Lepisosteus oculatus: one gene and its partners. The protein of the gene in region 1 interacts with the protein of each later gene in a pairwise test. Links are inferred from orthologs where the notes say so. Each region holds a gene or a part of one and is shown on either strand. Other genes may lie near its edges.

Region 1 (10,162 bases):
CAATCCGTAGTAATATCCTCACACTTCTACAGCGCTCTCCTGCACACGCCACTCACAGAGCTGGACAAGTACTGGGGATCCCCTCCACCCTCACCAGTGTGTACCCCCACCTGCATGATGCTCCAGTCCTCTCCCCACACACCAGCTCTCAGTGGGGAGGAGAGCAGAGGGATGGAGCCAGTTCAGAGAGGGGGGTTATTAGGAGGCCATGACTGGTAAAGGCCAGGGGGAGATTTGGCCAGGACACCGGGGTTACACCCCTACTCTTGTCGAGGAACGCCCTGGGATTGTGAATGACCACAGAGAGTCAGGACCTCGGTTTGACGTCTCATCTGAAGGACAGTATACTGGGGCATCGGGACCCCCACAGCGCTGTTTCGTTCACACTGGACTTGTCTGCCTGAAGAGGACGATGCCTGTGCCCAGCGCACCGAGCGAAGGACAGCGACACCGCCAGCAGGGGGCGCCCCAGGAGCAAGGAGGGCACGCGAGGCCGAGCCGAGCCGAGCCGAGCCGAGTCCTCACCTTGGAATCCACTCATGGGGCTCTGGTGGTAGATGACGGGGTGCTGGACGATCCGCGACTGGGACGAGCTGGTCAGAGTGGGGGTGAACATCACGGTCTGGGTGGGAGCCTGCGTCTGCACGGGGAGCCCCTGGGTGTAGATGGGGACCGACTGGGTCTGCACGGTCAGGGTCTGGGTCTGGACCGACACCGCGATGGGCGGCGGCGGCGCCTGCACCTGCTGCGGCCTGGGCTGCAGCAAGGGGGCGCTGCGGAGCGGGGCCGGGGCCGGGGCCGGGGCCACAGTCAGAGGCGGGGAGCCCTGCTGGACAGCCTGCACGGGGGTCTGGGGAGGCGTGAGAGGGAGGGACTGGTGCAGGGAGGGGGGCAGCTGGGACAGGGGCACCGCCGGCCCGCCCTGATAGACCGGGCTGGGCTGGGGGGTGGGGTTGGTGCCGGGGGGCTGCTGCTGTGGTGGGGGCTGCTGCTGCTGGTAAGGAACCCCCGAACCCCCAGTCTGCAGGCTGCCGCCCAGCTGGTCCTCGAACAGGTCAGAGAAATCGCCCACCTGGTTACTCACGAACTGGAGCATCTCTGCGGAGAGAGAGGGGACACAGAGAGGTGAGGAGGGCGGCGGGTCAGTGCGTCACGACGTGTCTGGAGCCCCACAGCTCCGCGTCAAGAACCGACTTGGTCATCTGCTCGCTGCTCGGAGGAGGCCTGAAACAGGCCACCCTGTCGCGTATCGCATGGAGCTGCGGCACCCCAGCAGGTCGTCTGTCCTGCAGAACTGAGCACAGGGTCAGAGGTCACAGCTCACTGAGCTCTTCACAGACACCCTACAGCACAGGGTCAGAGGTCACAGCAATTCTCACAATCACCCTACAGCACAGGGTCAGAGGTCACAGCTCACTGAGCTCTTCACAGACACCCTACAGTACAGGGTCAGAGATCACAGCAATTCTCACAGACACCCAACAGCAAAGGATCAGGGGTCACAGCAATTCTCACAGACACCCAACAGCAAAGGATCAGAGGTCACAGCTCACAGCAACCTTCACCGACACCCTACAGCACAGGGTCAGAGGTCACAGCTCACCCTGCAGGCTGACAGTTCTTAGGGTTTGTGCGAGACCTGAACAACCTGAAATGAGCTTCAGGCGATGAAACGGCTCAAATGTGTGACAGGTACAGGCCACAGACAGCCAAGAGCTTCAGATCAGAACACGGGGGCTGATATCAGAGACGGACAAGAAGCATCAGCAGGTTCTGAGGCAACACTGGGACAGCAGGGTCCCCAGCAGGTCAACACAGCCCGGGCTGCAACAGGCCTCACTGGCACAGATTCAAACAGCGCTGCACGGTCAGGGCCAGCCTCCACCCCCTCCTCTCCCCCAGGAGCCCACGTCACAGTACCCGAATCCTGGCGCCCATCCGGGAGGCCAGTCCGGGTTTTACCCCCAGGCAGACGTAGGTGTGATTGTCAAACCCGCCACCTCCGCGGGCCACTGACAGCTGAGTGACCTCGCAGAGAGGAGGGCTGGGTCTGCTCTCCCTCCCGCGAGGCTTCGTACTGGTCATCATGAGCCCAGGGGTCCTTCAGCTGGATGTGGCTGTGCAGGTTTGCAATGCAGTTCAGTTTTGCATTTCATGTCTGTGGATTTAATATGACCTCCAGGAAGCGGCTTCACTGACACCCAGCAAGGCGGCGCAGTGCGCGGAGAGAGAAAGACACAGACACACAGGTGGGACCGATGGGATCCGTGCAGCAGACCGGTTCAATCCCGGGCGATGTCCGCTCACTGATGCGGACGTCCGAGAGTGGACAAGCGCTGATGACGCTGCCCAGCCTGTTCGCTGCACGGCTGGAATGCAGCTACGTGTTCACAGAAACATCTGAGTGCAGCCCAGCACGGCGCCCCGACTGTCTCCGGCAGGACACACGCTGATGAGCAGGCGCTGGGCCTGGACACTGCTCACTGCTCACCCCATCACTGAGCACAGCACTGCTCTCGAGTCACAGCAATCTCCCTGTGTTCACACACAACACTCACACACTGGGCCTGAACACTGCACACTGCTCACCCCATCACTGAGCACAGCACTGCTCTCGAGTCACAGCAATCTCCCTGTGTTCACACACAACACACACACACACACACTGGGCCTGAACACTGCACACTGCTCACCCCATCACTGAGCACAGCACTGCTCTCGAGTCACAGCAATCTCCCTGTGTTCACACACAACACTCACACACTGGGCCTGAACACTGCACACTGCTCACCCCATCACTGAGCACAGCACTGCTCTCGAGTCACAGCAATCTCCCTGTGTTCACACACAACACTCACACACTGGGCCTGAACACTGCACACTGCTCACCCCATCACTGAGCACAGCACTGCTCTCGAGTCACAGCAATCTCCCTGTGTTCACACACAACACACACACACTGGGCCTGAACACTGCACACTGCTCACCCCATCACTGAGCACAGCACTGCTGTGTTCTCACACAACATACACTCCACACTCACACACACACAACCCCCACCTACACTCACATTCAATTCAAACTCCATATTAAACAGCAGTTCACACAGACACAACACAAACTCCATGATTACAAACACACTCGAAACAAACGCGATTCACACACCTACACGCAACACAAATTTCACATTGGATAGCAATTCAGACAGACTCGACAAACTCCACGCTTACAACACACACGACACAAACAGCTCAACACCGAAAGACAAACTTCACACTTTACACACACACACACACACACACACGGGATGCAGAATGAGGCAGGGAAGCGGTCTTTAAACAGCTCCTTAAATACTCGCCTAAAAATAACACCTACACCACATTAGAGCATCCCGGCGCTACCAGATCATTAGCAATAATCCAAGCCACTCACTAGAGAGAACAATTCGTGTTTCATCACAACTGGAAGCAAGCCCAGGAGAGAGGGCTCCGCTCAGGTGAGACGGTCTCGGACTGTACTGCCCGGTACCCATCGGGGCTCAGATCCGTGGCAGACCGGACCGGTACCGGGTTAAGGTTACGCACACACGGACGGACGGACGGACGGACGGACACGGGGCTCTGTCTTCCTGCGGAGGTCGGCGGCTCGGCGAGACCGACTCACCGTCGATGTAGCCCAGGGAGAAGTCATCCCCGAGTTCGGAGAGAGTCGGGTCCATACTGTCGACCGCCGGCAAGAACTCTCCCTCCATCGTCTGGGCAGGACGGGGCTGGGACACCCCCCCACGATCGGCTAGGTCTACCGTCCCCGGCGGGTGTCAAAGCGTGCGATCCGCTTTCGAACAGAACAAGGCGGGCTACAAGAGCGCCTTCGGCCGGGACGCGAGAGCTGTCAGAGGGCTGAGCACCATCCACAAACCCCTAGGTGGCCATCTTGGCTGCCGCGGTGACGTCATTTACAAACAGTGGAAGGCCGCCAGCGGGGATTCCGATTGGTGGATCCCCGGCTGTTGTTGTCATGAGACCAGGCCCCCCCAGCCAATCGGCGGGCTCCGGCCGCCGTGGTCTGATAGTACGTCAGCGATCAGACGCTTTCGGCTGCTTTGCATTGGCCCCGCCTCCCCCGGGGCGGTGGGCGCGGCCCGAGCGCCGATTCTCCATGAGCGGCTTCCGGGCGGCTCGCTCTGCCTTCTGCATGAGGGAACTCCTCCGCGGTTGTTCATGAATGACATTTAATATTTAAGTTCTGTCATTCGGCTAACCACGGGGTTTTTTATTTATTTGTGTTATGTAATTCATTCCGCCAGTCAATAGTTTCCCGTCTCCAGGGATCTTTTAATGATCTGGCCCTGTTAGTCTACATTTAAACCTTAAAATAAAAAAAGTCCTTGTTTTCTTTCAGCTCGTTGAACTGGTAAATGCAACGGGTCAGCAGCTCCTACGACCGGCGTTCAGCCGTGTCGGGAGCCGATGTGAGTTTGGTGTTTCCAGACTCGGATGTGCATGAATTACAGATGCCGAACTGACTGGTCTGGTGTCTTCTCGCCCGAACTAAGCGGTACTAATCACTGTGTCAGTCTTCACTAGCGCAGACAACACCCGTGCAAGATTTGAATGAATTGCTGCTGCTGTCTTAAGAAACATACTGCACATGTGTATGACTTCTGATCGTGTGTAAGACATCTGCGCAGGAGCCTGAAGGAGGACAGAGGATTAGACCAGTATATTGAAAAGACAGGACACTTTGAATATCCCAGTGTTGGCTGCACCTGTACATGCAGCGTGTCGTGTTTCTGTGCCGAACGGTACCCATGGGAGTCCAGCTCTTTGACTTTCCTGAAAAGCGCTCATACGTAAACAGCGAAACATGATCCAGAGATGATTGCAAGTTTGGAAGCACATTTAAAACTGAGAAGGGGAGGCACTTCTTTACATAGAGGGGGGTGGGAGTATGGAACAAGCTGACCAGCCACGGCACTGAGGCTGATATCCAGGCTTCTTTCAAAGGGGATCAAGCAGCTGGATAAGATCCTGGGATGATGATGATGATGATGATGATAATAATAATAATTGCTTACACTTATATAGCGCTTTTCTGGACACTCCACTCAAAGCGCTTTACAGGTAATGGGGATCCCCTCCACCACCACCAATGTGCAGCCCCACCTGGATGAATTAAAAGCTTACATTTACCAGTCTAGGACACAGGCTGGATGGGCTGTTGGGCCCCTCTGGTGCGTGTATTACAGTCCTGTTTCAAGACTGGAGAACACAGACAACGGGCAGTGGCCTGCTGATTGAGTCTTGGCCCACGAAAGACACCACGAATGCTCCAGAAATACTTTTATTTGCAAGTCTGCCAACGCTTTAAAATGCCAGATACAAAACATGCAAGTTTTAATTTAAGGCACAGTGTCGATTTTTTATAAATCACCGCCATCTCTGAGCAGGCTGGTTCAGGCACTGCAAGGTAGTACTAGCTTGTAAAAGTCAAATAAAAAGAGATCTACTGAGCAAAGCACTCGGACAGGCTGCTGGCTGAAGGGCAGCTGCTCTATTGTAACGACAGCTGAGGAAAGGGGGCAGGTGTCTGTAGTTCAAGCCCAATCTGTAGACGCAGATCTTCATCAGCCCGAACTGGAACCAGGCGGAGTCCCGGCGCTTGCAGAGGGGGCAGGAGCCGAGGTGTTGTGGAGAGACAGGTGCTTCGTACCCTCCGGCCCTCTCACTGATCCTCGCGCCCGGGCCGGCCGCTCCTGTCCAGGTGGAACTCCAGGGACTGCCTCTCCGTGTAGGGGCCGTCGGACGCCTGCGAGCCCGGCCTCACTCTCTCCTTCACCAGCCTGAACGTCAGCCCCCCAGCCAGCGCGATGCCCGCCGCCGCCTTGCCCAGCTCCGCCACGGCGGTCAGCATCTTCGCCGCCACCCCTGCGGTCTGCAGGGCCCCCATCCCGGCTGCGCCCGTCTCGCCCTGGACGCCCCCTGCCGCCATCGTTGCCCCTGTGGCCTGTGCGGCGGTCACACCCCCTGATGGTAGCCCCGCCCCCAGCCCCGCTGCCCCTCCCCCTTCTGCCATCACTGCCCCTGTGGCCTGTGCGGCGGTCACACCCCCTGATGGTAGCCCCGCCCCCAGCCCCGCTGCCCCTCCCCCTTCTGCCATCACTGCCCCCGTGGCCTCTGTGGCGGCCACACCCCCTGATGGTAGCCCCGCTGCCCCGCCCCCCGGCTCCACTCCTGCTGCCGCCAGCGCTGGCGCCCCCCCAGCGGCACTGGCAGCCGCCAGCGCAGCCCCAGCGCCCATCACGCCCCCGACCCCGGCCGCCACGCCCACTGCGGCTGCCCCCAGCTCCGCCACCGCCCCTGCTGCCTGCACTGCCGCCCGCGCAGGCCCCGGCGCCTCAGCCCCCGCCAGGGCCCCCACTGAGCCCCCCAGCACCACCCCCGTGGCGGCGCCCGCGGCCACCGCCGTCTTCCCGGCCGCCGCCGCCACCAGGGCGCCCACCGCCTTCCCTGCCGCGGTGGCCGCCGGGACCCCGCACACCTGCCCGGCCGCGAAGGCGGCGGCGTTCCCCATCACCGCGGCCCCCGCCGCCGCCGCCAGGGGCACCGCGGCCCCGCACAGCGCCCCCACCACCGCCCCCGCGGCCCCGGCCGCCACCAGGGCCCGGATCCTCTCCAGAACCAGCTCCGACAGCTCCGCGTCCCTCCGGAACCTCCTCCTGGGGGCCCGGCCCAACGCCCCGCCTCCCCCCGGCTCTGGCCCCGCCCCCCGCCCCCACTTCCTCTTCCTGGCGGGCTCCCGCCCCCCCTCCCGGAGCATCCTGTCCTGCTCCGCCCGGATGGCGGCCTCCGCCTCCTCGAACAGGCGGCTGCTGTAGTAGCGGCCCCCGTTCTCCCGCACCAGGGCCTCCACCTTTCCCAGCAGCCCCTGCACCTGCCGCCGGTCGCCGGGGGCCCTGTTGTCGAGGACGTGGTGGCGGCCGCCGCACCAGGCCAGCAGCGCCCGCAGGGGCGGGGGGGCCGTCTCGCGGAGGTACTCCTCGACGCCGCGCCCCTCCAGGTCGTCCCCCCGGGTGAACAGCAGCAGTGTGTGCGCGGCCGCCCGCGCGCCGAACAGCCCCGCGACCAGACGCGCCGCCCGCGCCTCCTCCTCCGCGAAGCGGCCCACCGGCACCGCCAGCAGGAAGGCGTGCGGCCCCGGCGCCGACAGCGCCACGCAGCGGGCCAGCTCGGCCCGCACCTCCTCCGCGGGCCGGCCGGGGTCGCACAGGCCGGGCGTGTCCACCACCGCCACCCGCCGCCCCCGGCTCCGGGCGCACGCCTGCGTCACCGAGCGGGCGCTGGCCTCCGAGCGGAACGCCCGCCGGCCCAGGATGGTGTTCCCGGAGGCGCTCTTCCCTGACCCCGTCTTGCCCAGCAGGACCAGGCGCAGCTCCGCGGGATCTTCCTCTTCCTCCTCCTCCTCCTCCTCCTCCCTCCTGGCTGGAAGACGGGAGGAAGACGCGCAGTGAGGCTCAGGCCGCAGCGATTTCCTGTCTCCCCGGTCACCCCAGCGACGCCACGCCATCCCCCCAAAAAGGCAGGCCCGGAATATTGTCCGAGCGCCGCTGACCGCACACGCTGCCCGGCTGGGAAGGAAGCCGGAGATGTGGGAGCACAGTCCCTCCTGGGGTAGCCTCTACAGGACAGATCTATCCAGTCGCACCCGCAACCTTCCAGTGGTGCAGGCAGCTCGAGGCCAGTCCTGCTTCTGGACACACTGACCCTCCAGGAGCAGGACTGGACAGCCCACAGACACACTGACCCCCCAGGAGCAGGACTGGACAGCCCACAGACACACTGACCCCCCAGGAGCAGGACTGGACGGCCCTGGTGTAGAGAGACTGGACAGCCCACAGACACACTGACCCCCCAGAAGCAGGACTGGACAGCCCTGGTGTAGAGAGACTGGACAGCCCACAGACACACTGACCCTCCAGGAGAGAGACTGGACAGCCCACAGACACACTGACCCTCCAGGAGAGAGACTGGACAGACACAGACACACTGACCCCACAGGAGAGAGACTGGACAGCCCACAGACACACTGACCCTCCAGGAGAGAGACTGGACAGACACAGACACACTGACCCCACAGGAGAGAGACTGGACAGCCCTGGTGTAGAGAGACTGGACAGCCCACAGACACACTGACCCCCCAGGAGAGAGACTGGACAGCCCACAGACACACTGACCCCCCAGGAGCAGGACTGGACAGCCCACAGACACACTGACCCCCCAGGAGAGAGACTGGACAGCCCTGGTGTAGAGAGACTGGACAGCCCCCAGACACACTGACCCCACAGGAGCAGGACTGGACAGCCCTGGTGTAGAGAGACTGGACAGCCCCCAGACACACTGACCCCCCAGGAGAGAGACTGGACAGCCCTGGTGTAGAGAGACTGGACAGCCCACAGACACACTGACCCCCCAGGAGAGAGACTGGACAGCCCACAGACACACTGACCCTCCAGGAGAGAGACTGGACAGCCCACAGACACACTGACCCCCCAGGAGAGAGACTGGACAGCCCACAGACACACTGACCCTCCAGGAGCAGGACTGGACAGCCCTGGTGTAGAGAGACTGGACAGCCCACAGACACACTGACCCCCCAGAAGCAGGACTGGACAGCCCTGGTGTAGAGAGACTGGACAGCCCACAGACACACTGACCCCCCAGGAGAGAGACTGGACAGCCCTGGTTTACAGAGCTGCTGCCCTGTTCTCGGTTACTGAGCAAACGCTGTTGTCCGGTGTTGGGGGGCAGGGACACAGGTGGACCGGCTGAAGATGAATTTGGGAGAACTGACGCGCAGGGGAGACGCCGAGTCGTAGAGCGACGCGGGGGCGGAAACTGCAGCCGGGACACAGCCGGTCCTGCGACCTTGCTTAGTGACCCGAGGTCGCGTTCAAAAGCAAAAGCGAAACGTCGCTCAGACTCCGGAGTTAGAGACCTTAGTGGCCTCCACGGACTGCCCGACAGCCGGACATGCCCACAAAAGTGACGGAAACGGTACTTCATCACCGCTGTCTTCGCGCAGTTACAGTATATGAGTGCTGTCCTGTGTTATCGGTCACATTCGGGGACGCCTCTCGGATGGTGGTCTTCCGAGGGTCCGCGGCCAGCTGACGGGGGGGCTGAGGTCACTGTTAGAGTATTTATTTATAAACTTCGCCTCCCCCCCAAACTAAGAGCAGGAACAAACCCCTTTATACAGGACCCCAGCGCCGGCTCGGGTTGAAAACCTGAAACCATAACTTTTTTGTTGCTGTTTTTAAGGTGGTGTTTTTTTCCCCAGCGAGGGCTGACATCACGCCCTCTCGCGTCATGCACTGCGCTCACCGTGTGGACACCCGTCTGTGCCGCTTGGCGTGTAAATCCGACCTCGGCCCCGCTGCCTGCGGTGGCGAGCGATTTGACAGTTTCGCAGATTTATTAGTGGTGAGGCACGTAAAATCGTGTTCCGAGGTCGCGTACTTCCTTGCGACACACTCTGTGCTGAAAAGCGAGCCGCCGTGCGGGACTGACTGGGTTTCGCTGCGGCCGCAGAAGGATGTTCTCACCTGAACCGTCAGGGCTCGTCATGACCTCCCCGGCGGCTCTCTGCTGCTTCACTGAGACCGTAACGGGGATCTCCGCCGTGTTTCCGAGCCCCGGCCGCAGAGCCCGTCTGCAACAGCCCCGCAGACAGCGGTCCGCCGCTACCAGGCGTACAGCGCTTTGGCGCCGCCGTGTGGTCACTCGCTGTATTGCACGACCCCCCTCCCCCGGCAGACATGTTGCTCTTGTATGTGTTAAATATCGTTGAAGAAGTTCAAGTAGGCAGCTGCGTCGGCAAAGGAACAGGTGGAGGTTTATTTGGTGCCGACACACCCGAAGAAGCCGAAACGTTGTGTTTCCTTTCTCCTCTTTTCAGCCCCGGAATCAGCGTTTATCCTGTTCCTAAATCAAAACACGTCCGCTTTGAAACTAAGAAGTAACGCAATTGGATTGTGGGGAGGCAACGACAAAATCCGTAGTATAAAATCGCCGAGAATGTTATTCGTACTTTCAAGGACAACATCTGCTGTACATTCCAGACCTGTAGAGTCTCAGGATGAGCTTTTCTGGCAAACAGCATG
Region 2 (9,426 bases), on another chromosome or scaffold:
GGCTCCCCGACCTCTGTGCCCAAGCAAGCGCCGGAATTTATCCCGCAGGGTCCGAAGGGAAACGGAACCTTTTCCCACTTGCGATATTCCAAGGTGGGAAATCCAGGCAGTAAGCCCACGGGGGGCACAAACACAGTAAGGTCCGGTCTGCGCTGGCCACGGACGGGGGAATTTGAAGTGGATCGGCTCCGGAGAGCACACGCCCCAAGGGCATCGCAGTGGGCTCCAGAGCTCAGGTACGAGGGAGATGCATTTTATTTTTTAACAAAGACATCTTTTTTTTTATTGTTGTTGTCGTCATTTTTGTGAGAGGCCGCCTTTAAAGGTGCTATATAAAATCAAGTTTATTATCATCATCATCACCATCTGACTGCTCTTTCCATTTATGACCTATCCTTCCACCCCTCTTCTAACCCGAGGGCTGCGGGGGAACTGGAGTGCATCCCGGCAAGCAACGAGCGCAAGCCATCACAGGGCAGACACAAACACAAACTCACACCCATCTGAGCCACTTTTCCCAGAAGCTAATGAACCTCCCAGTCTGTCTTTGGACTACGGGGGGACACTTCGGGGTTCTCTCCAGGTGCTCCAAATTAAGGAGAATACACACACACACACCCCACACAGATGTGCCCCAGGTGTAGAATTGAACCCTGAGCTCCAGCACTGCGAAGCATCAATACTAACCACTGCGCCACCGAGCTGCGCTCTCAAATGTTGCTGCTGTAAAAGCGAGACATTTATGGGGAACTTACAAGGCTCTTATTATCAGCACTCTAGGGCCGGCCAGGATGAAACTGAAAGGTTTCTGAAAGGTCACAGCATCCAAACATCACATAACAAATGAAAACACAAAAAAATCACCTTTGGAAGAAAATTTAAACCAGTCACTTCCCCTCCCAAGCACTTAACTTGCTTTCTCACTCATGAAGCACTAAAATATACATTTTTGTGCGGCCTTTCCTCTTCCACAATTTCCCCTTGGATACGGCAGGTGTGGATGTGCTGGCACTCCAGATAAACTCAAACCGTGCCAACGGAACCACGATCCGGTATCCGCTGGGCTCTTGCGGTGCACGGTCTACCTCTGCCTGTCCGAACGTGTTTGGGACCAGCCACACCAGGGCCAACCTTCCCAGAAGCCAACTGCCCTACCAGCATGTCTGTGGACTGTGACAGGAAACACATGGAAAAACGAGCTGCAAACAGCACCCCAGGTCTGGATCTGAACCCGGGGCCTCAGCGCTGCTGGGTAGCAAAGCTAACCACTGTGCGGACCAATCCCTCTATTCCCTTCCAGGAAAAGGACCTTCATCTTCTCCAGTCTGATCTACACGGTACACGTATCAGGATAAGGCTGTTTGGTCCACGTGGCTCCTAAGGGCTCTTTAAACGCGAGCAACACCTGCAAACACACATTTCACCTCCTCCTTTTTGGATCAAAGGAACTCGTCCTCCTGCTGAGCTTCTAATTCACAGGTGTATAAAAAACAAAACTCAACAGCAAAGCACGTTAAGACACCCCAGGCTTTTCCAAACCTGCAGGCTGCATCTTATGAGCCTGTCGCAGGGACTGGATGTCCCAAACCAGGTGATTTTACCTTAAAGAAATTTGCATAGACAAACTGGAATTGGGATACGGCTGTGTATTTGCGTGACGGGCTGCGCAGCTGGAGCAGAAAGCTCACTCACCTGCGGGGTTGGCGATGGCGATGGGCAGCTGGTGCATCTGCAGGCCGGCGCTGCTCAGGGTGTTGAGGTTGATGGTCTGCAGGCCGGACAGCTGGGCGGCGTTGACCGTCACGGCGCCGGCGGGGCTCTGCGCCAGCTGGGGCAGGGACTGCACGGGCGCCAGGGTGATGGTCTGGGCGCCGGCGGGGCTCTGCAGCTGCAGCGTCTGCCAGCTGACCTGCCCGTTGGGGCCCACGGTCCGCAGCAGGATGGGGCTGGTGTTGGGGAGGGTCTGGAACTGCAGGTTCTGCAGGCCGTCCTGCGTGGCGAAGACCTGGCCGGTCGGGACGGCGCCCGTGTGGAGGGTCTGGAGGGTGGGGGTGCCCTGCAGGAGCTGCTGGGGCTGGATGATGATCTGTTGCTGCTGCTGCTGCTGTTGCTGTTGTTGTTGTTGTTGTTGCTGCTGCTGCTGCTGCTGGGAGTCCCTGTTATCCTGCGGGCTGCCCTGCAGCTGCACGGCGCCCCCCGAGCTCTGGTACCCCGAGACGAGCCCCCCGTTGCGCTGCTGGGCCTGGACCGTGGTCATCGTGGTGCCGCCAGCCGCGAAGCCGCTGGCGCTGCTGACCGACGGCGCGGAGGTGACGACCGAGCCAGCGCTGGAGAAGTACACCCCCGCCGCGCTGGACACGGCCTGCTGGACCTGCTGCTGCTGCTGCTGCAGGGAGGCGCCCGAACCCGCGTCCCCCGCCCCGCCGGCCGCGGCCTGGCCGCCGGCGCTGACCGGCAGCAGGGTGATGTTGCCGTTGAGAGACAGGGGCACGTTGGCCAGGAAGGAGCCCTGGTTCTGCAGGAGGTTGCTGCCCAGGCCCAGGTTCTGCAGGGGGATGGCCTGCTGGAGCAGGTTGGGCATGGCGATGAGGTTGCCCCCGCCCGCGCCCGCGCCCCCCGCCGCCCGGATGATCTGCTGGCCGCCGCCGGGGGACGAGACCAGCTGGAACTGCCCGGCGGAGTCCTGCTGCATGCTCACCTGGGCAGAGGCACCCGTCGCCGTGGCGAACTGCAGCTGCTGCCCGTCCACGGTCTGGAACTGGGGGATGACCTGGTACTGGATGTTGGGCATCACCCCAGACAGGGTGGTCAGGACCTGCTGGCCCTGCAGGGTGGGCGCAGAGGCCACCACGAACTGCTGCTGCTGCTGCTGCTGGCCGCCCCCGGCACTAGTGGCCACCGCCGGCCTGCCCTTGCCCGCGTCCCCCCCCAGCCCCCCGGCCTGGCTGAGAGTGGTGGCGCCCACGGAGCTGGGCACGCTGACGGGGATGAGCTGCCAGCCGTTGGCCGTGTGGGCGATCTGGGCCGAGTTCAGGTCCAGCTGCTGCTGGTGCTGTTGCTGCTGCTGCTGCTGCTGCGGCGGCGGCTCCGAGCCCGCCTGCTCGCCCTCGCCGGGAGACTCCATCCGGCTGCACGTCGCCGCCAGCAGAGCGAGCGGGGAGGTCTGCTGGGAGTCCTGCAACAGACACCGGGGTGGGTGGGGTTACCACGGCCGGCGAAAAGGGCGGCCCACGCGTACCCACCTCTCCACCCACCCGCGCTCGCTCCCCCCCCTGTCCGTTCCCCCTCCAGCGCCAAGCCTCCAGTGGGCTGTGCGGACCGCTCTGAGAGAGCGGAGCCTGCGACGGGAACACCCCGGCTCCGCACGCCCCGCTTTTCAAAACAAGCATGTGCGCAGGGCGAGAGCGACAACAAACCCGGCCCCCCATCGCCGCCACACACGCAAACACACCACCAGCCTCCCCGGGTCAAGCAACAACGCCGGAGCCGCCGCCGCAGACCGGCCGCGGTCCTCTCCCTCCCCAGAGCACAACAACACAGCTCTTCCCTCGCGCTCTCGCCCCTCGCGGGCCCGACGCGAACGCGGAGACCGGCGAGGAGCCGCCGCTCACCTGCCCCGAGCTCGCGCTCCTCTTCGCGAGGCTCTGAAGGAAAGCGGCGCCGCCGCTCTCGGCCAGGGCAGCCATCTCGTCTCGCGGCTGTTCCTGATCTGAGGGAGAGGGAGGAAAAACACAGCGCGGAAGGGGGTAATACTAGGCAGCCAACGGCGGAATATTAATTGAAAAGAAAAAGAAATCGGGTTTCCTATGTCGAATCCGCAACCGTGCCAAAACGACCACGGAAAAAAAAAAAGTATCGCTCCAACCAAAAAAAAATCGAGAATTGATCCGGGTGTACCTGGGTTTCTTTTTCCTCACATGTTTTAGCGTTTTGTTTTACGCCAGTAAACGCAGTGATCCACGGCCAGAGATTAAAAGCAATGTGGGGGAGATATTCCGAGTGTTATCTGAGATCATATTGTTTTTTTTATTCGTGCTAAATCTGCTCTTTGTTGTTATTTGTCGAAAGGAAAGTAGTAACGATGAACGGCTGTTCTTAAGTGTCCGTTTCGACGAGCTACCCCCCCGTTTAAACTCCTCTTCAGCCTGATCCAATTAAACATCGAACTTTTAGGGTCACCCCAGTCCTCAGTGAAAGTGGAACGACGGAAAACCCAGCTTGTTTAATCTTGAGGCTAAAAAAAACTTTAAAAAAGAACAGTCCTCACGAAACCCAGACCTCTTTCTACTTCAGCGGGTTTTTGTTAGAATACGACTTTATGGTTTTATTCATTATTTTCTAAAGTTGCGGAGCTTTTATATTTCGTTTTCTTTCTTTCTTTAATTTTCGTCTTTAAAACAACGAAAAAAAGTTTCTTACCACTCATTATGTTCTGACGGGAGGAGTTTCTTGGGGTTCTTGAGGGGCTGACATCAACTTAGAGACGGTGCAACCAAACCCCGCGGCGCCACAGCACCGAGGGAAGAGCGAAAGCCCTCTTCGCCAATCAGAGAGCGCCCTGCTACTACGACAGCCAATCGGATTTGTCTGGAGGATGTCTTTACGAGTTCAGTCTGGTTGTGTCGTTGGTCGTGGGTTTGGAATGTGTAGCGAGATGGAAGCGGAATTGTATCCAATCATCACTCTGAATGTCCGCTGAGTTGCCAGTAACATCCAATGGAAATGGAGCTTGGGGGCGGGTATTTGGGTGGGGTCAAGTTGGGTAGGTTGTACCGTTTACGGAACGGCTCAAAGTCTGTACAGGAGGGAGGATTTTCTTTTTGGCGGAAAAGGCGCCATTAGCAAACCGTGCTTGCTGTGGTTCTAGTATTTATGAAGCGGATGTCATCCTTTTCTTCCCTTTTCTAGCGTTTGGAGATTTTTTGGAAATCAGTCACAAATGATATTGCATTACTATATTATTACATTCTTTAAAAAGCGAAAATGGTCTATAACTGTTTTAAATACTGTTATTTTTTTTAAAATACAGTATCAGAAAGCTTTTTTATGCAATAACAAAACGCACCACTGTGGGTTTTTAGATACATGCATGTTGTCCCAGCCATTTTCAGTTCAATTAAGTACCTGGGAGCCCAGCCTCGAGGAAAACCAAAACAACCGGTTCAAATCTATATTTTAAAAGGACAGGCTTTCTAGTCCAGTTAATTAAGTTCATCATCTAACCCAGCTGTTTTCTAAAAAAAAAAAGCCAAGGTTCTTGTTCTGAGTTTGTTCCACTCTCCCGCTGCCCTTTGTGTAATACGAACGTAAGAAAGGAGGCTGATGTTTCGTGTTTCACAGAGCAACTCGCCTGCCTTTGGGCACTCCTCTGAAAGTGCAGACTGGCCATTTAGGAGTTTCACCACTCGCTCGCTGAGTGAAAGTCCACCAGGGGTAGGCAGGCTGGGGTTTAATTGTCCTGTCTGCCCCTCCCTGCCCCGGACACTGCCGAGGGGTAAAGCTCTGTACTGATCCAGCGGGAGTCCCGTCTACGATCCCAGTGAAACCAGCACAATCCAGCAGCACCCCGGCTCCTCTCATTGTGAACTGCGCTGTTGCCCCCTCCACCCTCGCACATACACCTGCAGAACGGAGAGGCAGCCCTGTAACCAGGGTCACGGTCAGCTCACACTGGCTGCTGTTTTATCTGCTGGGAACTCCCGTGTTTAAAAACATACGTGGTAGGTCCGTGTCCATGTAGACCTGCCCAAGGCAACTCGGTGAGCTTCCTCAGCCGACACCGAGAGAGCTACCTGCGAGAGCATTTAGATCTGGGGCTTCTTTACACAAAAGGGGGGTGGGGGTGTGGAACAAGCCACACAAACGATACCCTGACCTTTTAGAAGAAAAGATCCATGAATTACTAACAAACGTTCTAGATGTTCTGAATGGCCTCCTCTCTCTTGTAACCCTTCTTGAGCATGGGTTATGCATTAAGCATGAAGCATGAAGTAACCAGATAATGCCTTAACTCTTGCAGTGAGGACACTGCGGAAAAAGACACCCACTTTTCAGGCTCGTGTGCTACCTGACGGGTGCCAAACGCAACGACGTGATCTGGCCCGCAAATGTCCAAAGACCGTTTTGTCTTGTGCGGCTCCTACGCAGACACACACCTTCAGGAGTGCGTGCGAAACGCGAGCACGGTCCAGCTAGTGTATCACAGCTCGGTGACATCGTGGTCAGAGAGATGTTAAGCGCTGTGACAGCCGAGTCTCCGATACTCGTGCGGGGTTCTCTTTCCTGGGCGGGCGGATTATGAATGAGAGGCAGAGACCTCGCGCTCCTGCGGGCCCCTCCCTGTGCGGCGCTGGAGGGCTGGGAGAGCGGTAGGCGGCCGTGGGGGAGGGGCAGCGCCTGAGCCTGCGAGGGCAGGAGAGGGGGTGGGGTGCTGGAGGGTGTACCCAGAAGCACATGCTTTCCAACATGTAAACAGCGGGCTTTCCGTGGGGTGGAGTTGACGAGCGGGGGGTTTACCGACACAGCCTCCTCTCAGAGCTCTTCGCCAGCGGAGCCACGGTTATCGGGCTTTTATCCGCATGTGTCTTATGGGCTGTTTGTTTTTTATTCCAGTTGTGTTTGAAACGATTATTCTGTAGCCATTGTTCTCTAAACCAGAGGGCGATGGGCTATTTCTCCTCACTGAAGGATTTGCAGTTAAATAACCCCCTCCCCCCACGCCTCTGAGCGTGGTTTCGGTCTGTTGAGTACTGTGGTCGCCAAGTTGTGTAATGGTATTTTTTCCAAGGAATTCAAATCTTAACTCCGACAAACTGTGTGAACGCCACGTTTCTGGCCTGTTAACAGTTGAAAGGAGGCGAGAAAGGCAACAAATTAAAATGATAAGAAAGTATTTTTCCCCCAATGTGATCAAAGCGGTTCAAACTTAAGTTACTGATTGATCTAAATCCCATCAAGCGGAGGTTTGAATTCCAAGCGCCCTGTTAATTGGCGTCTAAGGGCGAGTCGATTGTGTAAAAATGCTGAAGACCTGTTCTGCATTCAACCTAGCTATGGCTTAACGTGGTAAAGGCTGATTTAAACGTAATAATTGGTACTGTCCGATCAAACTGAAGCATGCAGAGAGAAGAATTCATTAAAACTAAGAAATCGGGAACAACACACGTGAGACCTGCGTAGAAGACACTAGAAAAAATATTGAAAGATAGCCTTAGTGGTCTCCCAACAAAATTGGAGATAACCTATTGCATTGGTATATTCCCAAATGTCCAGTCCTGTTCTCTTCAGGGTCAGAACAGAATTTCTGAAGGTTTAAAGTTAGCTAGTTAGGACATCAGTGCTTTATTCCTGGCCGATTGATAATGGTTATAAACACTTCGCTCGCCGACAAGCCGCCTGTTATAAACTAAACAAGAACGCGCTGTGAATCTTATCGGATGTAGCCCCCCCGTCTTTCATTAAGATATGGAGTGAGAACTACCGTTATTCTTGATTTTCCATGTTGTCAAACATGTTATGGCTCTGTGATAATGCTGACGACGAGGCTTTCGATTCGATTTCCAAAATGTGCACGACAAAACCATTATTTTTTTAGAGTTCAACAAGAAGAGACGTGGAAACGACGGTCTGTAAACTTTCTTTTAAGACTAGCGTCTGCTGTCACCGTCTGGACATATGTTGGTATTACACCTCCAGGAGCTCCAGTTGGTACTCGAGTTACGTTGTGCTTAGAAGACAACGAAAATTCTAAATCATACTAATCCTTACGCTTATCTAGCTCTTTTTTTCAACAGAAAGCACTTTACATGTAGTGGGGACTCCCCTCCACCACCACCAATGTGCAGCCCCACCTGGATGATGCGACGGCAGCCATAGTGCGCCAGAACGCTCCCCACACATCGGCTATCAGTGGGGAGGAGAGCAGAGTAATGAAGCCAGTTCAGAGATGGGGATTATTATATATATAATAATAAACTTTATTTTATATAGTGCCTTTAAAGGTGTCTTCTTAAAGCGCTATTAGGAGGCCATGATTGGTAAAGGCCAATGGGAAATTTGGCCAGGATGCCAGGGAAACACCCTTACTGTTTTCAAGAAACGCCCCTGGAGAGTCCCCACGGAGAGTCGGGATCTTGGTTTTACGTCTCATCAGAAAGACGGCGCCTATTTGGATGCTTCACATTGGTGGTGGTGGAGGGGATCCCCATTACTCGTAAAGCGCTTTGAGTGGAGTGTCCGGAAAAGCGCTATATAAGTGTAAGCAATTATTATTATTATTTTACAGTATAGTCTCCCCATCACTATACTGGGGCATTAGGACCCACACAGGTGAGCGCCCCCTGCTGGTCCAACTAACACCTCTTTAAGCAACAGCCTTGTTTTTTCTCAGGAGGTCTTCCCCTCTAGGTACTGACCAGGCTCACATCTGCTGAGCTTCAGTAAGCTGCCAGTTGAGAATTGCAGGGTGATATGGCTGCTGGCGATAACTCAGTAGTAATAATCGAACGGTGGATATCGTGTTGTTTGAGCTAATCACTCATACTAGCAGTCTGCAAATGCAGATGAACAAACAACTATCCTACGATTCTGTAAAACGCCACAAATTGTGATATAACTATTATACAAATAAATTAATAGAACCAAAAATTATAATTAAGAAGATCTATTGGACATAACCTTTTAATTTCGGGAGATGCGTTAGGTTAGACCCCCTCTCTCCGTTTATATCTCGGTTAAAAATGTGAAATTGTTTCCTGTTCTTATATATTGTTCCCCCCCCGTGCAATAAGAAATGTACTTACAAAAGTCATAAAGGAGGATCTATACAGCCTTTTCTTTAAAAAAAAGGCGAACAACAACAGCCGAAACGCCAAGTTGCACCTTGGGAAATTCCCGGGCCAGCGCGAGCGCTGCAGGGCCGGGAGTCGCTCCAAGCCGGGGGTAAAGCTGCACGCGCCGCTGTACCGCTCATCCATCGCGCCGCTCTCTCAGTGAGCCTGCGGTTGAAATGCCGGATCATTTTTCCTTCAGCGCAAACCGAGACGGGATGAGGCGACCCCGTTAATACAACATGATGTTGAGGAAAAAAACATCACGATGCGAGGATGCCCAGAGATAAATTCCACTTTAATAAGCCGAGTGCAGTTATGTGCTTAGGCTCCTTAATCAAAACATTCCTCCCCATGCTGTTTTTATTAACCGGGGATGGAAGAAACGGTCACATAACAGACCAGAGCTCGCCGCCTCGCATAACAGTGAAGTCATCCTGGGTAATATTTCCCTTTATGTTATAAAAGTAGATTAAAAACAAAGCCAGACTCATTAGTAGTTATTAAAGTCTATGCTTACACACAGACGTATCGGGAATCCTGGAGTTTCATTATTTTTCAACCAAACCTCGCGCCGCAGTCTAGCAGGGCCCTCCGG
Region 3 (10,154 bases), on another chromosome or scaffold:
TAGTGTAGGGGAGAGAGGTGTGTGTGTGTGTTAGTGTAGGGGAGGGGTGTGTGTGTATTAGTGTAGGGGAGAGGGGTGTGTGTTAGTGTAAGGGAGAGGGGTGTGTGTTAGTGTAGAGGAGAGGTTTGTGTGTTAGTGTAGGGGAGGGGTGTGTGTTAGTGTAGGAGAGAGGGTTGTGTGTGTGTTAGTGTAGGGGAGGGGTTTGTGTGTTAGTTAAGAGGAGAGGTGTGTGTGTGTTAGTGTAGAGGAGAGGGGTGTGTGTGTTAGTGTAGGGGAGGGGTGTGTGTGTTAGTTAAGAGGAGAGGTGTGTGTGTGTGTTAGTGTAGAGGAGAGGTGTGTGTGTGTGTTAGTGTAGGGGAGGGGTGTGTGTGTGTGTTAGTGTAGAGGAGAGGTGTGTGTGTGTGTTAGTGTACGGGAAGGGTGTGTGTGTGTGTTAGTGTAGAGGAGAGAGGTGTGTGTGTGTTAGGGTAGGGGAGGGGTGTGTGTGTGTTAGTGTAGGGGAGGGGTGTGTGTGTTAGTGTAGGGGAGGGGTGTGTGTGTGTGTTAGTGTAGGGGAGAGGGGTGTGTGTGTGTTAGTGTAGGGGAGGGGTGTGTGTGTTAGTGTAGGGGAGGGGTGTGTGTGTGTTAGTGTAGGGGAGAGGGGTGTGTGTGTGTTAGTGTAGGGGAGGGGTGTGTGTGTGTGTTAGTGTAGGGGAGAGGGGTGTGTGTGTGTTAGTGTAGGGGAGGGGTGTGTGTGTGTTAGTGTAGGGGAGAGGGGTGTGTGTGTTTTAGTGTAGGGGAGGGGTGTGTGTGTTAGTGTAGGGGAGAGGGGTGTGTGTGTGTTAGTGTAGGGGAGGGGTGTGTGTGTGTTAGTGTAGGAGAGAGGGTTGTGTGTGTGTTAGGGTAGGGGAGGGGTGTGTTTGTGTTAGGGTCTGCAGACAGACCTCTCTCTCCTCTCTCCCCTCTCTGAGGAAGACAGTGTAACTGCTTCTCAGTCTCCTCATCACACTGGGCAGCAGACAAAGGAGGAAACGGACTTCAAAATGAACTGTAGGACAATTTCAAACCAAACTGGGCAGAATTGTAAAGGAATCTCCTGAGCCCTTAGAGCACAGCGCCAGAGAGAGCAGAGTCACACGCCCGGGGTGGGGTGGACTGCCGTCCTTTTCAAAGGACCAGTACAGTTCAGCACAGAACCATTTCTTCTGAGCTGATCTGCTCTGTGGAATAAAGACATGAGGCTTTCTTGACTCACTGAAACGCTGGTCAGAGGAAAGCAGACACCTGATTGCAAAACAGTCGTATTGTCGTATTTTATAACCGGGGGAGGTTGTGGTATTTATTTGCAAGAGCGTTAATTTTATTTATTTGCTTGCGCGCTCATCTTTGCTGTGGTGTAATGAATGCATCGGGAGGTGCGCATTCCCAGTACAGCCATTTCCCCGCCCGCAGGAGTGAATTTCTGGGAGCAACAGTTGCTCCGCCATTAGACAGCAGGTTGAATTAACGACCCGATCGTGCAGCTCAGCCCCCAGCGCTCGCGGGGGCACCTGGGCTCCCGAGATCCCGGCACGCGGGAGGGGAGACGGAGCAAGACGGAGCCGGCAATACCAATGAGGAGCTCGAGCCAGACCCGGCACCCGGGACCCCGAGAGGGATCTCGCGTTCGAAACAGCCCCAGGGGGCACAGCGCCCCGCTACGCGCAGCCCGTCCGGAGAGCCCCGGTTTAGAGACCTTCACCAGTGAAAGAAGCAGTGCGGACCCTTGTCCTTTTAAGACGCTCTTTAATCTTTACAAAATCCAGTCCTAGCATCTCCACCGGTAGCATCGCCATCCCCGTTTCTCTTACTGGTAGAAACCCGGTGCCCGTGAGCCCAGACACTTACCGAACCGCCGCGCTGGGCACGCAGTGAGGCGCAGGAGCGCTTAGACTGGAGTGCGCCCGGACTGCTCCGCTGGAAATGCCATCGTCTTGCGTCCGTCTCTCCCCCGGCTCGGTCCTGCTCTGCTGCGTCTCCTCCGCCTGCCTCCACGCTGACAGTGTGTGACGGGGAGCGCGAGAGAGCGCCTCCACGAGCGGGCGGGACCGACCGACTGCTGAGGAGGAGGAGGAGGAGGCAGGGCGCGCGCGGCCGGCGCGAGGCAGCGCCTTTCCCTGCTCACTCGTCTCCATGGTTACCTGCCTGACCCATATAACCCAGCGGAGCGCCGGTACCGGGTGGGACGGGCGCCGGCGCCTTCATGTGCAGTAACGCGCTAGCGGCCGGTCCGGCGGGGTCCGAGCCCTCTGGCCCCGGCTGTCCTGTCCCTCACCCGCTCCCCGCCCTGTCGCCCCCACGATGGAAATGTCCCCCTGCTCTGCGCTGCGTGTCGGAACCCGTCTGCGTGTGTCTGAGCGCAGCGATGTGCTGCACCGGAGCCGAGACCGGGGTCGGGGCTCCTCCCGGCTGCACACCCGGGGCACAGCTGCGGGCGGTCCGAGCGCCAGAGCGGCCGGGTCTGTCCGTCCCCCTTGCGCCGCAGAAAGCACTTTATCGGGGGAATCACATCACACATTCAGGCTGAAGGATCTCGTCCCAGTGGGTTAGCTGACGAGCTTTTTTTTTCATAAGGAGCGCATGTTGTGTGTATGTTGGTGCCACCGTCACCTGAGAGGTGTGTGTCCCCGACCAGGGCAAGGTTTTCCAGGACCAGCGCCTGGGGGCTCTGGGAGAGAGAGCTCCTGAGCGCAGTGGTGTTCAGGACTGAACCCGCAGACACAGTCTCCTGACCGCTGGTGCTGCAGCTGCAGCAGAGACGCGCCCAGGCTCCGGAGAGTCCTGGAGTCTGCTGCTGTTCGGTGGTGTATCTCTGCCCCTGGAGGGCTGGCCTGTCTGTAGGTTCTCCCACCTCTTAATGACCTGTGTCAATAATGAATGACTCTCGGCTGAGGTGGACCAGTGTTCCAGCTGCTCCCATCTCATGGGCCTCTGGAGGTTTCAAGAGACCCAGGAGACACTCGGTACCCCCCAGAACCCCAGAAGACACATAGGGTACCCCAGGAACCCCGGGAGACACACCCCACCAAGAACCGCGAGAGATCCCCCCCCTTCCAGGAACCCCAGGAGACACTCGGTGCCCCAGGAACCCCAGGGATGGCTGCAGTGCGGGCATCTCTGCCAATCAGATACTCTGGTGCCTTCCAGTGTTCCTCTTTCACGGGGAAGATGAGGGCTTCGCCTCGTCAGCACACATTCCTGTGTAATAACTGCACAGAAATGTAATAGATGCAATTGTGACCCCAGGAACGCAGCAGTCCTGTCGAACCAGGAAGACGGAGCCGTCTTTGTGACAAGATGCTAAAGTGACTCAGAAGAGCCGCAGGTACGCCCTCGTCTTGACCCCTGTAGCGATTTACAGGCTCCTCGCTGCTTTATGATCTATAAATAATCTCTTCAGCGCACAGCAGCTCCTGTAAAAATGTGCCAAAGCGCTGAATCTGAGGACCAGTGCAGACTCCAGAGAGTGCTCCGAGCGAGACGCCTGGGGCTCCCTCACCGTACCCCACAGTCTTGATTGCAAGACAGACGTTGTTCTGTTTCAGTCTTCAGGGAGTCTCACTCTGTCCCCCAGCTGGAAGGAGGAGCTAGCTGAAGAACTGGGCTCTGTCACTAGAGCCTCCGGACCCTGTGGGTCCCCTGTCCGAGCGCCCCAGGGCCTGACAGAGGAGGGGCGCGCCTCTCTCGGATGCCGTCCACCATAGCCTAGGGACTCGGGGCCACGGTTGTCCAAAGACTGGGGTGGGGTCCCAGTACCCCGCGGTCCAGTGCGTTCACCCGCCGTGGCACGGAGAGAGGTGGCAGAGGGTCCTGGGACTGCTGGGGTCTGCAGGGCAGGTGATGGGAGCGGACAGGAAGAGGAGGCTGGTCTGGGGTTCAGGGGGAAGGAGACGGAGACGCCCCGCTCGTTAGGAGAGACACGCGAGCCCAGAGTGTAAGAAACCAGCAGCGAGCGAGCGCTCCCTCCAGACTCACACGGCCCAAAGCTTGCACCCTCCGCGACCTCCGGCCTCCCAGTGTTGTGTGTGTGAATGTGTACGTATGTGTTGTGTGTCTTGTGTGTATGTTGTGTGTGTGTTGTGTATGTGTGTGTTGTGTGTGTTGTCTGTGTGTTGTGTGTACATGTGTGTGTTGTTACACCTGGCTCGGGCCATCGGGGGTTCAGCAAGGTGGCAGCAAAACTCAACCCCACTCCTGCCAGTCTCGTTAAACACCGGCCCTCCTTAGTGGAGGTTTCAGAAAGTGCTGGCAGGCTTTTCATTCGGAAGCAAAGAGGGAGAGGAGAGGAGAGCAGAAGAGGATGAGGATGACACGCCTGCATGTTTGAAAGTCTTGAGATCCTTTGATCAGGGCACCACTCAAGCACAAGACAGGGTCCATCTGATGCACTTCTGTTCCTGGAGTGAGTTTTTTTTCCAAGCCTGCTGAATTTCTTAATCATTTTCATTTGATTTTTTTGTTTTTCAAGGATGTTGATGACAACCAGGGGATCTATAAATAGCGGTCAGCCAGAGAGCGAGGGCGACGGCTCGCTAATTAGTTCCAGAACCCATTCATATAGCAGAGTGACAGTCTGGTGAAGTCCATTCTGAGGAGGGGGCCTGGGGCCTGGCTGAGCGAGCAGAGCTCTTCAGACCCACCCCTGCGGAGAGGAGAAGCACAGGCTGTACAGACACCCACATGGGGACACGTACACACACACGTACACACAAATACACACACGTACACACACGTACACACACACGTACACACAAATACACACACGTATACACACAGGTATACACACACGTACACACACACGTACACACACATATACACACAAATACACACACGTACACACACATATACACACAAATACACACACAGGTACACACACAGGTACACACACAGGTATACACACACGTACACACACAAATACACACAAATACACACACGTATACACACGTACACACACAGGTATACACATGTACACACACAAATACACACACTTACACACACACAGGTATACACACACATAAACACACGTACACACACAGGTATACACACACATACACTCACGTACACACACGCACACTCGGAGACGGTGTTTGTGTGCCTGCACTGACACCGACACGCGTGCTCGGAGACGGTGCGTCTTAATGAACTGAGCCGCCATGGCTGGGATGACATTTCTGCAGCGCAGCACCAGGCACAAACTGAGCAGACAGGCATCGGTGCAGCCTCAGCAGGCCACCGTGCAGGGCCTGATGTACACGCTCATTCAGAAGGGTGGTGTTTGACTCACGAGTCAAAGAAGGACAATGGGTAAAATGAACTTAGATAAGATAAGATCACTTTATTGGCCATGTACAATTTCTTGTATGAGGAATCTGTCTTTTCTCATACCCCAGCTTGCTCTCCATGAGACACACAGACAGGGAGAGAAGCTGGGGGTCAGAGTGCAGGGTCAGCCAATGGAGTAGGATTCCTCTGCTGGCTGCGGGATACAAACTGGCAACCTTCCAGCAGCAGGTGCAGTGGAGGGCCACTGGACGCTTAATGACCTGATTGGGATCAGTTGCTCCCTTAATAGGTTAATGACCATTGTTTCCAGCTCTGCATCCAGTGAGGATTATAAATTACCAGTGAAACCTAATATACTGCAGGCCTTCAGGACCAGAAATGAATTTTGCTGCTTTAGGTATTTTTATACTGTTCTGTTTTTGAGATACAGTAGGTGGTCATTCAAAATGTAAAAACACAATTGCGTGTGTCTTTCTACTGAGATTGTAGGTATTTTGCTTTAAGCTGCAGGTGATCCTGCTAGATGTGTGTGTTGTAGCCCAAGAAGAGCTCTTTCAGCCTGCTGGCTGTGCAGAGGGGAACGGGTGATGTTCCTGACGAGGAGCCCCTGACAACGAGTCAATTAGACCTGACTGGGAGCTGTGCTGGATCAGCAGCTACAGCACTTCACACCAGCTGCTCCAGCGCAGTTTACCTCCAGTCGCTGATTGTGATCGATGTGAATTAAAGAAGCTATTTGACAAGGGAAGATGACTTTTCACTCAAACTATCTCTTCAATGAGGTTGGGTTTCTACACAATTGACAGGCAGCAACAATAGGCTGAACCAGGTTAACTGTTTTGTGTCTCACCTGAAGGAGATTGAATAATATATTTGAGGCTGCCCGTATCCTGCGGTGATAGTGCTTTGGTTTACATGTTCTCAGTGTCTGTCCTACTACACCGGACAGGATCGTTTTGTTTTAGCGTTGCAGCGCCGCCTAGTGTTGAATATCGAGCAAAACATTTCAAATCTCCTAATTTCGAGTGGTACGATAGTACTGGAAAATGATGAAATTGCTAGCTTTTTAAGAAGGCATATTAAAACGACATATCAATCTCACAATTTGAATAAGTTGCTATCTTTTTTGTGAAATAGAATTCTGTTTTTACGTACAAAACGTTAGGGTAACAGCAATGGCGGCGTTTATCCTGTTGTGCCGTAACCCATCATGGCGGCTGCCTTCAGGCTTTCTCTCACGTGACGGCTATTCGCAGGTCTGATTGGTTAACTCCAACGGGGTCGTGCCCAGCTTCCGCTCGAGGGGAGAAGTCGTCAGAGCGCTCGCTGCGCGGCCATCTTGTTTCCCATCGCCGTTAAAATAAAATAAATAATAGGCAGAGCTGGACTTCAGCGCGAAATTCTGAAAAAAGCAGCCGGTGAGTAGGACAGTGGCACTGATTATGGTTGTTTTCGAGAAAGATGAATGGGTTTCTGGGGTTGTGGGATTTATTGCGGGGGTTATTTGAAGCGCCGAGACACTCTCCGCTGTTGTTGATTGTTTCTCAGATGAACAGAGGCGCCATTTCCCTCCGCGCTCTCTGAGGCGCTTATTGGTGGCAACGCTTTACGGAGCGGATAGGCATTGGTGAAACTGCGTCACTGTGCCCGCCATTTTGGCTCCGGGGTGCGCTTCTCTGGCACGGAGTGGCCTTTTCCATGGCGGAGCCGGAATGACGTCCGTTTCACAGGCGCCTCAACCCTAGAAACCTTGATTGGTGGAATCGGGTCCGAGGTTTGATTGGTCTGAGGGACATATCCAAACTTAATCTTTATTGGTTAGAGCCGCTTTCCACAGGTTTTGCGAGCGTTTTTAGGGAAAGTCGCCTTTGGTAGCCGACCGGCGCGTTTTTTGCGCGGCTCTGGTGCCGGGGGTCCCTCGTCGCTTGTCCCTTTCCCCCGCCGGGGCGTCCTCGCCTGCCGCGGGCAAAGAGCTTCACAAAACCCACACGCCCGGTGCAGGTTCGGGAAGTCTGAGACGGGCCGGGACGCGCAGGCCCGGCTGAGCTGGCGATCGAGTCGGCCGTGACCCCGTCCAGCCGAGCCGGGCGCTTTTCTGCCGCTCAGCGGTGTCGGGCGATGGGTGACCAGATCTGTAGAAATTGATTCCTGCCGCCTGTCCTCCCCTGCGCCTGGAGGATGCAGATCTTCCCCGCCGCCCGTTTCCCCGGACAGTGACGTAGCGCCCGGTCCCGGCGTGTGGTCATCTCTGTCCGGCGCGTCCCACCCGGGCGCTCCTGGTGCGGCCTGGCGCCGGCACACCTCGGGGTGCTGCTGACAGATGGAGACTGCCTCAGCGTGGGGCTCGTCTCCCACAATCCACAAAGCATGAGCCTGGTCCGGCCGGCTCCCCCGCAGGCATGAGCCGTGCTGCTCCTGTCGCTCCCCCGGCCCTGTGCTGGCTGGGAACACGCAGCACAAGGCCTTTCCTCCGAGACGGAGAGGATCGGCACAGGCGGCAGAGCACAGTGTTTCTGCGGCGTCTGAAAACGCACCGAGAGGGCATTCTGTCCAAACGTGGGCCGTCCAGTGCCACAGCTGTGCAGGCAGCGATGATGTGTTAGAATACAGTGTGATCCACAGGAGGAAGCGTCAGGCTGATTGTGATTTTCTCGCCAGTGTGCTCGCAGCCTGGGGTCTTTGGCGGGCTGATATGTGGAGTTGTGTGGAGTCTGCCTGTCCGACCCTGTGTGGTTTCTGCTGCTGGCTTGTTTCTGGTCTTCGCTGGGGTGCAGCCTGGCGGGCGCCCCACTTCTCTCCCTCCTGCTGCTGCTGTGCTCGAGCTCCACTTTCCCTGCTCTTCCCCCGACGGGCTTGAGGTGGGAGCCAGGAAAAGTGAACCTGTTTTTTAAAGAAAAACATCTGCGGTGCCGCCCTCCTTTGTCAGCCTTATAAAGAGAAAAGAGCGAAAAAAGTTAATTGTGGTTTTCTTGCCCGTGGGTACCAGTTGGGAAGCCATCTGTTTCTGCTCACTGTAGCAAGGGGTCAGGCGAGGGCTCTGCTGTCGCCACTGTTTTGGCGCAGCGAAGAGAGACTCTGTCTGCAGCAGAAGGAGCCGTCACGCACTTTCTGCAGGGTCTGCGTCTCAAAGACGGGCCCCTGTGGGTGTTTCCGCCCTCCTCGTGGGGTGCGGCGCTGTGAGTTCGCCGCGGGAGACCAGACACGAGACCGGGCAGAGCTGGGCTGCAGGGGCACACGTGCTCGCGCGCGGCGTCGGCCGAGGTCAGCTCGTGGCGTCCTCGGCTTGCCACGCGGGTGCAGCCATGGGGAGCGAGAGCCGTGTCGCGCCCTGTCGGTGGCTGGCCGGCCGGCCCTCTGGGCACCCATGAGCTCGGGCAAGGGTACGCCGAGGTCCAGTGTCCACCATCCTCTTGGCCCTCCTGCTGCCCGCTGAGCTGAACCGAGGCTGGTACAGGAGAGACAACGGCATTGGCGAGTGCATTTCGCTCCACAATGAAAGTTCAATTTCCACAGTTGTGATGTGAACTGGAGGTTTTAAACACACAGCAGGTGACATTTCCAGGCACGCGCAGCACCATGTTCTGCGATTCAGGAGGAGGCAATGAAGTGTCCCGTGACGTGATGCGGCCTTATGAAATTGTAAAGAAGCAGGCCTTAGACCAAACGTATTGCTCTTGACTTCAAAACCGTTTGGATAACAAATAATCCTTTTATTAACTCTGCATGCAGATGACGTTGGAACATTTCTGCAGTGGAATGTCTGCTGCATGAGCTGTACGTATTTGCTCGTATATTGTGTTACATTAGTCATATTCGTCATTACAGCAGCCAGCGTCTCGGTTCTCACAAACTCTCCTCTTGCCCTGACAGGACCTACAGTCCTTTTGCCAAGTTCACAATTTTGTGCTTAATTCTGAGTTTGTAAAATTTTGTGATACCATCAATTAATTTATTTTGTTACGGAGATTTAATAACCGGCCTGAGAAATTGAGACTGCAGCTCCTCTTTAACTGTGTTTGTGCTGCCTTATTAATGCGAGTGCTGTGGGGTAGCAGGTCACTCGACCTCTGTGTGATCTCTGCACGATAGCAGAGGGGTAGAGTTGTAAAGTTTTATAAGCAGGCTGGTTATCTTAGTCTGCCACTCTTGAAGGTTTGTAAAGTTTTATGGACTGTAATGCTTTTTGTTAGGGCAGAAAGGAGACCAGAGCTTGCAGTGATTTATTGTGTTTCTGTTATATGTGTGTTTGGTGGAGCTGACGTTCCTGTATCGCTCTGCAGAAGGTATTTCAGGCTCAGGTCAGGTCATGTGATTGCGTAAGTGCCTGCGCAGGAGCCGCTCCTCGCTGTACTCCCAGAGCTCGCTGGTCAAGGCACGGCCTCCTCTCGATGAGGCCACAGGGTCCTAAGAGGACCCGCGTTAAGCTTCCTGCACTGTCAGAGCGCTTGGGCTCCGTTTATCGGCAGTTTGGGTATGGGATGTCTTAATGTCCCAGTGAAACGCAGGCCACGTGTGATACACGTTTGCGTTGTGCATTTAAGTCAAGGCTGCGCTGGTTCTTGGTTTTGGCCCGTGCCCTGTTCCTTGCAGTAGTTCAGTCCTCTGGATTAAATCTCATTGCAGTGCTGGTGTTTAAAAGCTGTTTCTTCTCTGATATACTGGTGCCACTGAGGGTTCTCCACCCATGACCTTCTTGTGTAATTAAGTGATGTTCTGACATCTCCCAGAGATCCAGGTGTGTAGAACCAAGGCCTTCTGGTCCTTCTACCAACAATTAAAACAGTACTCGGACTAAACTTATTTTTAGTATTGATGAAAGCAGAGCACCACAGAACCATCTGCCTGTAAAGTGT

The links.
Region 2: the proteins of srebf2 (region 1) and sp1 interact in binary tests that used the Homo sapiens proteins (3 or more experiments, as listed by UniProt). The link is inferred for Lepisosteus oculatus from reciprocal best matches to the Homo sapiens genes SREBF2 and SP1.
Region 3: the proteins of srebf2 (region 1) and nfyc interact in binary tests that used the Homo sapiens proteins (3 or more experiments, as listed by UniProt). The link is inferred for Lepisosteus oculatus from reciprocal best matches to the Homo sapiens genes SREBF2 and NFYC.

The regions. Positions count from the first base shown.
Region 1 is NC_090707.1:38,960,297-38,970,458, reverse strand, and holds the start of srebf2 (sterol regulatory element-binding protein 2), read right to left. Parts: upstream 3,973-10,162; 5' UTR 3,752-3,972; coding exon 3,664-3,751; intron 1,099-3,663; coding exon 526-1,098; intron 1-525. Other genes in the region: uncharacterized protein, read right to left, coding at 5,725-7,481, 9,605-9,626.
Region 2 is NC_090696.1:17,808,070-17,817,495, forward strand, and holds the start of sp1 (transcription factor Sp1), read right to left. Parts: upstream 4,609-9,426; 5' UTR 4,427-4,608; coding exon 4,420-4,426; intron 3,710-4,419; coding exon 3,612-3,709; intron 3,176-3,611; coding exon 1,693-3,175; intron 1-1,692. UniProt on the Homo sapiens protein: Transcription factor that can activate or repress transcription in response to physiological and pathological stimuli.
Region 3 is NC_090706.1:718,768-728,921, reverse strand, and holds the start of nfyc (nuclear transcription factor Y subunit gamma), read left to right. Parts: upstream 1-5,679; coding exon 5,680-5,698; intron 5,699-6,612; exon of another isoform or gene 6,613-6,719; intron 6,720-10,154. UniProt on the Homo sapiens protein: Component of the sequence-specific heterotrimeric transcription factor (NF-Y) which specifically recognizes a 5'-CCAAT-3' box motif found in the promoters of its target genes.